3 linked regions of the Sus scrofa genome follow. The protein of the gene in region 2 purifies or fractionates together with the protein of the main gene of each other region. This does not show direct contact. Links are inferred from orthologs where the notes say so. Each region holds a gene or a part of one and is shown on either strand. Other genes may lie near its edges.

What was found. Proteins that work in one complex are often made in the same cells at the same time.
Region 1: the proteins of FOXO1 (region 2) and SIRT2 purify together in Homo sapiens (affinity purification with western blotting; 3 studies listed by BioGRID). This does not show direct contact. The link is inferred for Sus scrofa from reciprocal best matches to the Homo sapiens genes FOXO1 and SIRT2.
Region 3: the proteins of FOXO1 (region 2) and ATG7 purify together in Homo sapiens (affinity purification with western blotting; 4 studies listed by BioGRID). This does not show direct contact. The link is inferred for Sus scrofa from reciprocal best matches to the Homo sapiens genes FOXO1 and ATG7.

Annotation. Positions count from the first base shown.
Region 1 is NC_010448.4:47,693,271-47,696,914, forward strand, and holds part of SIRT2 (NAD-dependent protein deacetylase sirtuin-2), read right to left. Parts: intron 506-3,644; coding exon 466-505; coding exon of another isoform or gene 464-465; intron 315-463; coding exon 209-314; intron 106-208; coding exon 49-105; intron 1-48. UniProt on the Homo sapiens protein: NAD-dependent protein deacetylase, which deacetylates internal lysines on histone and alpha-tubulin as well as many other proteins such as key transcription factors.
Region 2 is NC_010453.5:15,407,120-15,411,292, forward strand, and holds the start of FOXO1 (forkhead box protein O1), read right to left. Parts: upstream 2,941-4,173; 5' UTR 2,915-2,940; coding exon 2,264-2,914; intron 1-2,263. UniProt on the Homo sapiens protein: Transcription factor that is the main target of insulin signaling and regulates metabolic homeostasis in response to oxidative stress.
Region 3 is NC_010455.5:67,490,250-67,493,893, reverse strand, and holds part of ATG7 (ubiquitin-like modifier-activating enzyme ATG7), read right to left. Parts: coding exon 3,512-3,644; intron 1,820-3,511; coding exon 1,704-1,819; intron 1-1,703. UniProt on the Homo sapiens protein: E1-like activating enzyme involved in the 2 ubiquitin-like systems required for cytoplasm to vacuole transport (Cvt) and autophagy.

The sequences.
Region 1 (3,644 bases), on a different chromosome or scaffold from region 2:
GCCTGCTGTCCCCCATCTCTCCTGTCCCCCCCACCGAAAAGAGCTCACCTTGAACTGCCCAGGATAGAGTTCCTTGGCGAGGGCGAAGAAGGGCTCTGGATGTTTCTGTGGGAGAGAGACCGGAGGGCAGGCAGCCCCGTGCCCCTGGTGAGGTGAGAGCTGGCACCAGGCGGCCCCCGGCCCCCACCACGTACCTTGGGACTCGTACCTTGAAGTAGCCAATCTCAAAGATGGCCTCCGGGTAGGGCAGACGGTACTTCTCCAGGTTGGCATAGAGGCCCGTGGACGGGGAGCGGAAGTCAGGGATGCCGCGGCTGGGGGCAGGGGGCCAAAGATGAGGGACCTCGCTCGGCCCCATTGCTACCACACCGACCCTCCCAGGCGATAGCGCCCGCTCGGCTCCTCCCCAGCCCTTCCCAGGGGCACCCAACCAGGGGCGGCTCCTGGGGCAGGGGATGCTTACACGTGGAGATTCCAGCTCCCACCAAACAGATGACCCTGCGACCTGGAGGAGAAGAGTTTACACAGCACATGACATAGTTTGCTCAACATCGCCTACCCCAGTCCCTGAAGCCATCTACTCCATGCCAGGCCCTGGAGGAAGCATTTCAGATCCCTGAACGGTCCCCCAACTATCTCAAGGTGGGTGGTGGTAACACCCATTTTATAGGAGTTCCCATCGTGGCTCAGCGGTTAACGAATCTGATTAGGATCTGTGAGGGCGCAGGTTGATCCCTGGCCCTGCTCAGTGGGTTAAGGGTCCGGTGTTGCCGTGAGCTGTGATGTAGGTCACAGACGAGGCTTGGATCCCAAATTGCTGTGGCTGCGGTGTAGGCCAGTGGCTACAGGTCCTAGCATGGGAACCTCTATATGCTGAGGGTGTGGCCCTAAGAAGACAAAAGAGGGAGTTCCCGTTGTGGCTCAGTGGTTAACGAATCCGACTAGGAACCATGAGGTTGCAGGTTCGATCCCTGATCTTGCTCAGTGGGTTAAGGATCTGGCGTTGCTGTGAGCTGTGGTGTAGGTCGCAGACGCGGCTCGGATCCTGTGTTGCTGTAGGTCTGGCGTAGGCTGGCAGCTACAGCTCCAATTAGACCCCTAGCTTGGGAACCTCCAATGCCGCGGTAGTGGCCCAAGAAATGGCAAAAAGACAAAAAAAACAAAAACAAACAAAAAAAGACAAAAGAGCCCCCCCCCAAAAAAATCCCGTTTTACAGATGAAGAAACTGAGGCTCAGAGGGGGGTCACACAGTTGGCTGGTGGAAGAGCCAGCGTGGGAGTCAAAGAATCCACTGCTCAGGAAGTTCTCGCTGTGGCTCAGCAGTAACAAACTCGACTATTATCCATGAGCATGTGGGTTTGATCCCTGGCTACACTCAGTGGGTTAAGGATCCAGTGTTGCCATGAGCTGTGGTGCAGCTTGCAGACACAGCTCGGATCTGGCATTGCTGTGGCTGTGGTGCAGGCGGATTTGACCCCTAGCCTGGGAACTTCCATATGCCCTGGGTATAGCCCTATAAAAACAAAAACAAAAACAAAAAAATAAAATTGCATTAAAAACAAAAAAGAATCCCCTGCTTAAAATTATACCAAGGTATAAGATTAAACAAAAGGCCACTTGGAGGGAAATTTCTCCTCCTAGCTAGATCTAGACAAGAACACACGAGATCTTAGTGAAAGGGCTGGGCATGGGGTTCCCCCAGAAGAGCTGGAGCTTATTGTGAAAAGAATCTCGGGCCACCCCTCATCTTTTGGACACAATCTTGGATGGCCATCCACTTCTAGCACATTCCTTCTCTTGTAATCAAATGCACATCAGCCACCTAAAGTTTGATAATTTTCAGGTGAAGACCAAAGATTTGCCACTCTCAGCCCACACCCAGTGAGCAGCAGAGTGGATAAGGGTTCCCAATTCTGGCTCTCCTGCACACCCGTGGTGGTGATAGGGGTTTGGGGGTGGTGGTGGTGGTGATGGGGGGTGGGGGGTGATGGGGTGGGGTGGGGGTGGGGGTAATGGGGTGGGGATGGGGGTAGTGATGGGGTGGGGGTGGGGATGATGGTGGTGATGGGGGGTGATGGGGTGGGGTAGGGGGTGGTGATGGGGTGGGAGTGATGGGTGGGGGTGGGGATGATGGTGGTGATGGGGGTGGTGATAGGGGTGGGGGGTGATGGGGATGGAGGTGGGGGTGGGGGGGTGCACTAAGTCACAGCCTCTCTGTGCCTCAGTTTCCTTCTCTGACCTGATGGCAGTGTCTTAGTTCAGATCATCACTCTGCACCTTAGCTTTCAGCTCTGTAAAAGGGGCGTAATTACAGTAGTGACCTTGCAGGGCTGTTGAGAGAACGATCTCATTCATGTGAAGCTCCGATCAGGGCCCAGCACTGAGTATGCTCCGAGTCACTTGTACTCAACTTTTTTCTTTTGGGCTGCACTGGGCATGTGGAAGTTCCCCGGCCAGGGATTGAATCCGCACTGCAGTAGTGACCTGAACCCCTGAAATGACAGCCCTGGATCCTTAACCCGATGCGTCCCCAGGGAACTCCCTCAACTTCCTTTCTTTCTTCCTTCCTTTTTCTTTTTGCTTTTTTAGAGCCGTATCTGTGGCATATGGAGGTTCCCAGGCTAGGGGGTGAATCAGAGCTACAGCTGGTGGCCTACGCCACAGCCACAGCAACACTGGATCCAAGCCACATATTCGACCTACACTACAGCTCATGGCAGCACTGGATTCCCGACCCACCGAGCAAGGCCAGGGATTGAACCCGAATCCTCATGGATTCTTGCTGGATTCGTTTCCGCTGCGCCACAGAGGGAACTGCCTCACTTCTTGGGACCCGTGATTTGTACGCCTGCGGGTGCGTTGCTCCCCATTGTCAGCAGCTTTCAGAAAAGAGGATGGAAGACATGGCAGCAGTGGAATCACTTCACAAGCACGTGGGGCTGTGCAGAAATAGCCCCGTTGCCTTTTTAGTAGCTGGCTGGCTGGCAGCCCTGCCAACGTGGCACCATGTGCCTGTAGGCTGATAGACAAGTGTAAGGGCCTGTGAACTGGGCACCTCTGGGGTGCCTTGTGTAAAGAGGGACAGTGAGGGTGACAAGGGCTGAGACTTCCACAGCCTCAGTGTTTGGCTACGTTCATGAAATCATTGGAGGAGGCCTGGTGGGCCGGGGGGTGGGGGGCACATGGAAGGGAGTGTGTGCTGCTTTGGATTCGGGTGGCCTGGGGTGGAGCCCAGACTCTGCCTCTTGCCGGCTGTGTGACCCTGCACCACGGCACAGCCTCTCTGGGCCTCCAGTTCCTCTTCCGTCCAGATCCCCCTCACGGGTCACCACGCGAAGATCAAACCAGAGGAGGCCTGTCAAGTGCTTTGCCCCAGTGCCTGGCAAACGGGGAGAGCTCAGTGAGCTATCGGGGGTTTTATTACTATTATTATCCCCTCATAAGCACCCTTGGGAGTCAATTATCCTAAAACCCAGGCGCAGGAGGGCGGAAGGAACGAAAGCTGCGTTGCCAGGGCCTGCGTTCTCTTGGGGGCCCGCCCAGGCCAGGAGCCGGCTGCAGGCAGCTGCCGGCTGGCCCCAGGCCGGGGCAGGGGTCGGGGCGGCGGGCCTGGCTGCTGAGCGGGACAGGGACTCGGACATGG
Region 2 (4,173 bases):
CCAAGCTCCACTAGATTTCCACTGGGAGCTGCCACTGGGCCTCCAATTCTGGACAGTCAGTCCTTACCAACATTTAAGAGACCTTCTAGCTCTAGGAAGTAAATTTAAAAAACAAACAAACAAACAAACAAAAAAGCACACCTTTAACTACCTGGGAAAAAAATGAGAACAAGTAGAAACCTAATAAAAATGGCTGGGGTCAGGGAGTGATTTTAGTCTTAGAAACTATTAAAAAAAAACAAAAGCATAAACCTTAAATGCTTAAGTTATATTCCTAGTTTAAGAATACAGGAATGATCTGACTTAAGACCATTTGAGAGGCAAAACTAAAACTAATCCCCAAACTTTGCCTTTCCCTATCTTAAAAGAAAAACACTCCAGCAAGCTTAAGTAGGCTGTATCCATTTCCAAGGACATGAAAAAACGGTGTTAAGTACACACTGTACTTTTAATTCCGAAAACAAAAAATTTAATGGCAAATGGTTTTACAACAGCTCAAGTAGGATTGATAAATGAACAAGTAAGTCAAGTACTTAAATTCAAATGTTATAAAATTGGATTTGGCAGACAACCCCCATTTTCTGACTTTAAAGAATATATACCAAGGGTAAAATAAGGAGGCACTTTACTTTTTTGAAACCTAGGTAAATTGCATGTAATGCCTGGTAATCAGATCCTAAGTGAAGCCTTTACTCTAAAATACATTTTGGAAAAAATAAGATCCTTGTTCCTTCTCCAGGAGCTTCAACACGATGTGATTAACTTAACCTTTTTGACACACATTAACCACAGGAATGACAGTGTACGTAAAACAACCTTTGTGCAACAAATGCGCAGCAAAGAAAAATCTTTATTATGCTGTACAGTCCCGAGGAGGAGTGAAGAGGAGTCTGACTCAACCAGAGAACCTTAACATCGATCCTTCCACCTGTAACAGAAAGTGTCAGCTTCTGGAAGTCGCGGGGCGAACCGCTGGCCGGTATGCCTCCCCCAGCCCGTCCTCCTGGGAGCCCCAAGGCCTTCTCCACCTCAGGGTAGGGATGTGCCCCCACCTGAGTGTCTCTCCCGCTGTCTCTCGGTCTCTCAGAAAGGCAAAAACGGCCAGAGGCACCGCGTGTACAGGCCTCCGTCGAGACAGGAGGTCCTTGCAGGTTCCCTTGACTCGAACCTTCATTCCAACTCCCCGAACACCAGTCACCTGCCCCTCGGACCTGTACCTCCAAACGCTGTAACCCTGAGGGGGCAAAGCAAGAATACCCACGTCCCCAGCCCTGGCCATCCAGGAAATCCTCTCCGTGCTTAATTAAAGGCCTCGAACCTTCGGCGAGGCCAAGTTTGGGGGCACTTCCTTGGGCAGAGACGTGCCGGCCTTGCTGCCCGGCGGCCGGGCGAGGAGGTGCCCAGGGCCAGGACGCGCTGGCCCTTTAAAGGCGCTCGCTTCCTGCGCTCGCGGCCCCTCCCTCGCCGTCGCCTGCTCCCGCCCCCGCCGAGGGTCACACTTGAACTTTAGCTCGCCCCGCGCCGCCGGGCGCCGGCGCTCCGCAGGCGGTGGCCGCCCCTTTGCACGTGTCGGAGACGCTACCTCTGGCTCTGCGCGCCCGGACCCCTGCACTCGAGGCCACTTAGAATAAAATCAAAATAAAACAAAATGCATACGGCCTCCAAAAACCGCGCGGCCAACCTCCACGGGCCGGCTGCCTCGCGCCCTGCCTGTCCCCTCCACCTGCAGCCCCGTCCCCCAGCGGCGGGGCTCCGAGGCCCCTCGCAGCGGCCTCCCCCGCCCAGCGCTGCGGAAACGGCTCCGCGGGGCGGCGGGGAGCTGGGGGGCCGCGGGGGAGGAGGGGAGCCGCCCTCACCCCTGAGGTCGTGGAGGGAAAGGAGCAGCGGCAGGAGTTCGCGCGGGCCGTGGAGAAGGGGGGGCAGGTCGCAGTGAACCCCGCTCTCCGTTCACTGGAGAACTTTTTTTCTGGTTGCTCTGAGGTCCACTTCTTGGCGTACTTTTTTCACTACTTCGGTCCCAACTCGCCCCTTCCCGCTCCCGCTCCAACTCTCACGAGAGCGTACACACAGACGTTTATTCCAATCCTCCGACGGGTCCGAGGCAAGCCCACCACCCACCTCCGATGCTTCTTGCACGCGCTGCCCGCGTGCCCTGCACTTTCAAGCCAAGCAAATTTGCACAGCCGTCCCCTCCGACCTAAGGCGGAGGCAGGGCTTCCCGTGCCCCCCTCCCGCTCCAGCCGTGCGCCCCGAGGCCACTCACCTTCCAGCCTGCCGAGCTGTTGCTGTCGCCCTTATCCTTGAAGTAGGGCACGCTCTTGACCATCCACTCGTAGATCTGCGATAGCGTGAGCCGCTTCTCTGCCGAGCTCTCGATGGCCTTGGTGATGAGGTCGGCGTAGGACAGGTTGCCCCACGCGTTGCGGCGGGACGAGCTGCTCTTGCGCGGCTGCCCGGCAAGCGACCCGGCGGCGGCGGGGGGCACAGGCGGGTGCTGCGACAGCGGCCCGGGCGGCGGGGGCTGCTGCGGCGGCGCCGGGTGCAGGCAGCCCGCCTCTGGGCCCTGGAAGTCCCCGCACAACCCCCCGGTGGCAGCAGCGGCGGCCGCCGCCGCCACCGCGGCTGCCGCCGCCGCCGCCGCCGCCACGGAGCCGGGCGCCTGCTGGAAGTCCCCGCTCTCCTCCAGCAGGCTCAGGTTGCTCATGAAGTCGGCGTTGACAGCGGCCGCCGAGGCCGAGGGCAGGCCCGCGGCAGCGTCGGGGTTCGCGGCTGGGCCACCCGACGGCGCCGGGCTGGAGGTGGCCGAGTTAGACTGGCTAAACTCCGGCCTGGGCAGCGGCCAGGTGCACGAGCGCGGCCGGGGCAGCGGCTCGAAGTCCGGGTCGATCTCCACCACCTGGGGCGCTTCGGCCATGGTGACCCCCGCCCCTCCCCCAGCAGCGGGATTGCCAAGAAGTGCGAGGGCGCTGCACCAGGAGCTGAGGGGAGAGGGCGCGAAGAGCCGGTCCGAGATTTTGGGGGGCGAGGTCGGTGCCGCGGGCGGACGGAAACCCGGAGCAAGACGCGGCGGCGAAGTGGAAGCGCGAGCCCAGAACTTAACTTCGCGGGTCCATCAACATCTAGGCTCCTCCAGGTCCGCTGCACGGACGGGACGGCAGGCCAGAGTCGCCCAGCCCAGGCAGCGCCAGCGTCGCGCTCCTACTGACACGGCCCGAAAACCGAAGGAAGGACGGGCGCCGCGGGCCGCTCACTCTCCCCGGCGGCGCGACCGCGGCGCTGCTGCCTGTTGAATGTGGCGGCGGCGGCGGCGGCAGCGGCGGCTGCTGCTGCGACTACGCTGCCGCCCGACTTACGGGATCTGCCGCCGCCCCCCGCCCGCGGCGGCGCGCGCGCTTGCCCGCCCCTGACTGATAGCCCCAGCAGCCAATGAGCTCGCGGCGGCACCGCCCAGGCAGCCAGTGGACGCCGGCCTGGGCGGGGGCTGGTTTTCCAGCGGGAGGTGGCAGTGGGTTGGTGGGGGTAGTGGGGTGTTTTTTTCTTTCTCACACACGCACAGTCTCCCTCACTCTTTTTTTTTTTTTTTTGGCTCTCTGTTATTATTTTCTGGTAATTTTCGAATGTTTCTGTGAGTCTCTCCGCTCTCAGTGTTTTGATTGCTGTGAGGCAAACCAGCGTGGAGGCGGCGGCGACACTTTGTTTACTACCGGGGAGCAGAACCGAGTACTCGGGAAGCCCGAGTGGAACGAGTCGCTCGCTTGCCCTCGACCTCCGCTCCGGGCCCAAAGCCGGGCGGGGCGGGGGCCGGAGACGCTGGGCGCTTCGGGGGCGCTGAGTGGGCGGGCGGAGGCGGCCTCGCGGAATTCTGCTCAGTCGCCCCCTCTCGACTCCGCCCTCGACTCCTTTGCTGAGAAACGCGGGGAAGTCGGTGGGTTTTGTTTTTGTTTTGTGTTTTTTTCCTTTTCCTGCGATGTATCGAGTCCTCGGGCCCCGCGCGAGCCGCGCACGCCTCCAGGGGCCCGGGCTCTGACTGTCGTGTCCGCGCGGAGGACGCCCTGGCCGCCGCCTCCGCGACCGGAACCCACCTGTCTGCGCCCGAGGGCTGAGCCTCTGAGGTCGAGTGTAGCCGGGGGCCCGTTGTCCGGCCCAGCACCCGCCAGCCGGGTTCCCTCCATT
Region 3 (3,644 bases), on a different chromosome or scaffold from region 2:
TGGCCAGGAAACTTCAAAACATCGCAGGTGTGGCCCTTAAAAAAAAAAAAAAAAAAAGGAAGAGGAGGAGGAGGAGGAAGAGGAAGAAGAAGAAAGAAGTAGTAAACTGGAAGATAAGCCAGAAAAAAATCACTGGACTGAAACAAGGAAAGACAAAATGATGGAAAATACAGAAAAGAGCACAGGCTAATTCTAACAGCAACTGGAGACTCAGAAGGAAAGAATCAAGAAAGGGGCAGAAGCAATGCTTTAGAAGATAATGGCTGAAAATTTTCCACAATGGGTAAAAAAAACGCAGCAAGCCATGGATTCAAGAAGCACTAGAAAGCACAATCAGAATAAATACAGAAATAGGTGTAGAATAATAAAGACAGAATTAGGTATATATTTCCAACTTCTGAAAACCAAAGACAATGAGAAAATCATAAAAGCAACTGAGGGTAGAGGAAAGGGAGAAAAACAAATTATATCAAAAGAGCAGCAATGAGATAAACACCTTACTTCTCAACGAAGATGAAGGCAGCCAGGGACAATAGGACTATAGTCTCAACTTGCTCAAGGAAAATTACCAGCAATCCAGAATTCTGTACACAGCAAAAATATCTTTCAAACATAAAGATAAAACAAAGACACTTTCAGACAAAGAAAAAACTGAAATATCTTTGCCACTAGCATTTCTAAAGGAATAATAAAGGGTATTCTTCAGGGAGAAGGAAAATGCCCTTGAATGGAGGCCCAAGGATATAGAAAGAGATAAAAAGCAACAAAAAAGAAAATATCAGCAAAATGAAATGACTGTCAATTATATAACAATAATATCTCTTGGGGTTGAAAATACATACAGAATTTCAAAAAAAGAGTGTGCAGATTCTCCTGGTGGCCTGCCGAACGTCCATTCTCACTTCTATTTCATCACAGTTTTGTCAGAGAGGCAATGTGTCCACCCAAAGAACTACATTTCTCCGCCTTCCTTGCAGTTAACAGTGCAAGGTCATGTGCATTAAGACTTTTAGAATCAATGGGTAAGTTCTCCAGGAGAGCTCTTTAAAAGGGGGCAGCTGCAGCGGAGCACAACTTTCATCCTTTGGTTAATTCTTCTCTAACACAGAAGCAGCACTGAAGGCAGAGCAGTCGTCTTGTGACCACGAGGTGACAAACATAAAGAAGAAAGCTAAAGTCGCTGAGTGAAAGAAAAGGAACTAGAGTCCCTGACGACATGTGGGAGCCCTTGTACCAGCCCTGAACTGTCTGCCTCTGAGCTTTTTGCTGCAAGAGAAAAATAAAGCCCCACTCATTTGGCTAAGCCGATGAAGATGGATCTCTGTTACATACAGCCAAATGCAATTTCTACCCGATGTGATTCAGGTACTGCCTTACAAATGCTCAGGGCTAAGGAGATCAGGGCTTAACAGAATAAAGCATGAAGGTCCTTAAGGCCTCTACCAAAATTTTCATCCTTCCTTATCACTGATTACCAATTAACTATGGGATAGTCCAATTCCAGAAGGATGCAGAGATACAGCCCTAAAGATTATATGACAAGTTTTCTAGGCCAAGGAATCAGAGCAGGCTTTTAAAAATCTTGGTTTTTTTTGAGGCTGGGAAGAGAAAAATGATTCTCAGAAGAGTCAGACTGAGAAAAGGCCAAGGGAGACACGAAAGCTTTCTTTGTTTAAACACCCACCTCTAACCAGCAAACTTACCCTTCCGGATGCTGCAAAACAGAAACCATCAATTCCACTGCCAGGGCTCCTGCAATCATGGCCAGTCCTGGACGACTCACAGTGCACTGCTGGTCCAAGGTCCGGTCTCTGGTGGACTACAGAGAAACAGTCACTGTTGTGCACTCATAGCTCCATCCTACCCAGCTCTAGCCATCTAAAGCATGACTCTCTCCACGATAAAGCTCCACCACAGAGCCAGTCGCTCTGTTGGCAAAGACCGGTCGGCCTCACATAATATCATTTCTTGCAAGTACCAAGAAAAATGAAGTATACAAGTTAGGTGACTAAATGCAGTCATACACTAAAAATGACTAGCATTTATAAACAAATGAAAGATTAGGGGCCTAGCTGCCCCAAACAGGAGTTGCACAATGCGTGTTTTTAAGTGACTCAACTCTACTGTGCTTGTTAGCTGGGAGTCAGAGACACAGACAGGAGTAACATTTGAACAGAAAAAATGATCCCGCCCCGCTGTTCTGACTGCGCTAGAGCCTCAGAGCGCATGTGGGGCAGGAGGAACGATGAGCCATCCTGCGGCCCTCTGTCCCTACGTGCCGCCCACACCGTGTGCATCTCATCACCCCTGGGCTTAAGGACAAGAACTTATGCTACCACGCGGCTCCAAACACAAGCCTTCATTAGTTCAACACAAGAAGTTCTTACCTGTCAACTCCAGGCAAATCTAAGGGGTTGTTAGGGATCATTTTAACTCTGAAAATTGTGCCTTATGAACAGATGTGACTTAACTGCAACTGACCCTTGGTCCCTCATGTTGGTAATCAGGAAACAACAGGGCCAGCTGGATATTATAACCCATGATGGAGCTAAAGCCACCCTTCTTCACACAGGCAGATATTTATCTTTTTTTTTTTTTTCTTAAAAATACTGGGAAGACACAAAAGCCAGTCACCCAAAAGTGGTATGAATTGCTCAGGAACAAGTTTTAAAAGAAGGGGAAAATGGAAGGGAGGGATGAACACCTCTGCTTTGTTTTACTAGAAACACCTGCCTGTTCTGACACAAGGCCACTCCTACTGACTGACCCTGCTTGCGAGGCAGTATTAAGACCATAGAACCTTACACTGGAACAGTGTGGGGCTTGCTCTTCACAGCACCTTCACATTCGACCTTGTACTGAGAGCAGTCAGTGAAAGTACCCCTCCCTTCCTTACTGGGGTTAGCAGGTAAGATACAAGATACTGGGTTAAATCTGAATTTTAAAAACTTTTTTTTTTTTTTAGCACAAACATGTCTTGAATATTGCATGAGACGTAGTTATACTAAAATATTTTTCACTATTTACTGAAATTCAAAGTTAGCCATGAATCCCGTATTTTGACTTGCTAAATCCGACAACTTTATGGTCCTCAGGTCCACTGTGCAGAAGCAAAGGGAGCCAAGAGATTGATTCTGAATGACACTGTGAGCCAGTGTCCAAACCTAGACTAAAGGCTGGGCCTTCAGACTCCCATTTAACACCCTCTTCACTAAGATATGCACAGCAGACAGTGCTGAGTGCTGCAGGGACCCATCTAGCCTGCAGTTTCCTTGCCAAGTTTTCCATAAAAATAGTTGTCACTGGGTTTACACTGGAGAACAAGGAACAGCTGTATTGGTTGATGATGACAATCAAGGCTCACAGAAGGACAATGCCACCCTGCAAACAGGAGAATTTTTCCCTTTGTTAAAAGGTAATACACAGTTAAAAAGGCAAGTATTGGGTCTCTCCACCCTAGTGGGCAAGACAGTTGTAAGAAATATCTGGAACCTCAAAGAAGTCCACTTACATCTCCTGGGGCCACGACATCATTGCAGAAATAGCAGCCAAGTTTGTAGCCAGGGATGTTGGCAAAAAGTGATGAGCCCAGGAGGTCAGCAGATGTCACAGGGTTGCTGGGACACAGGTCCCCAGCTCCCTGC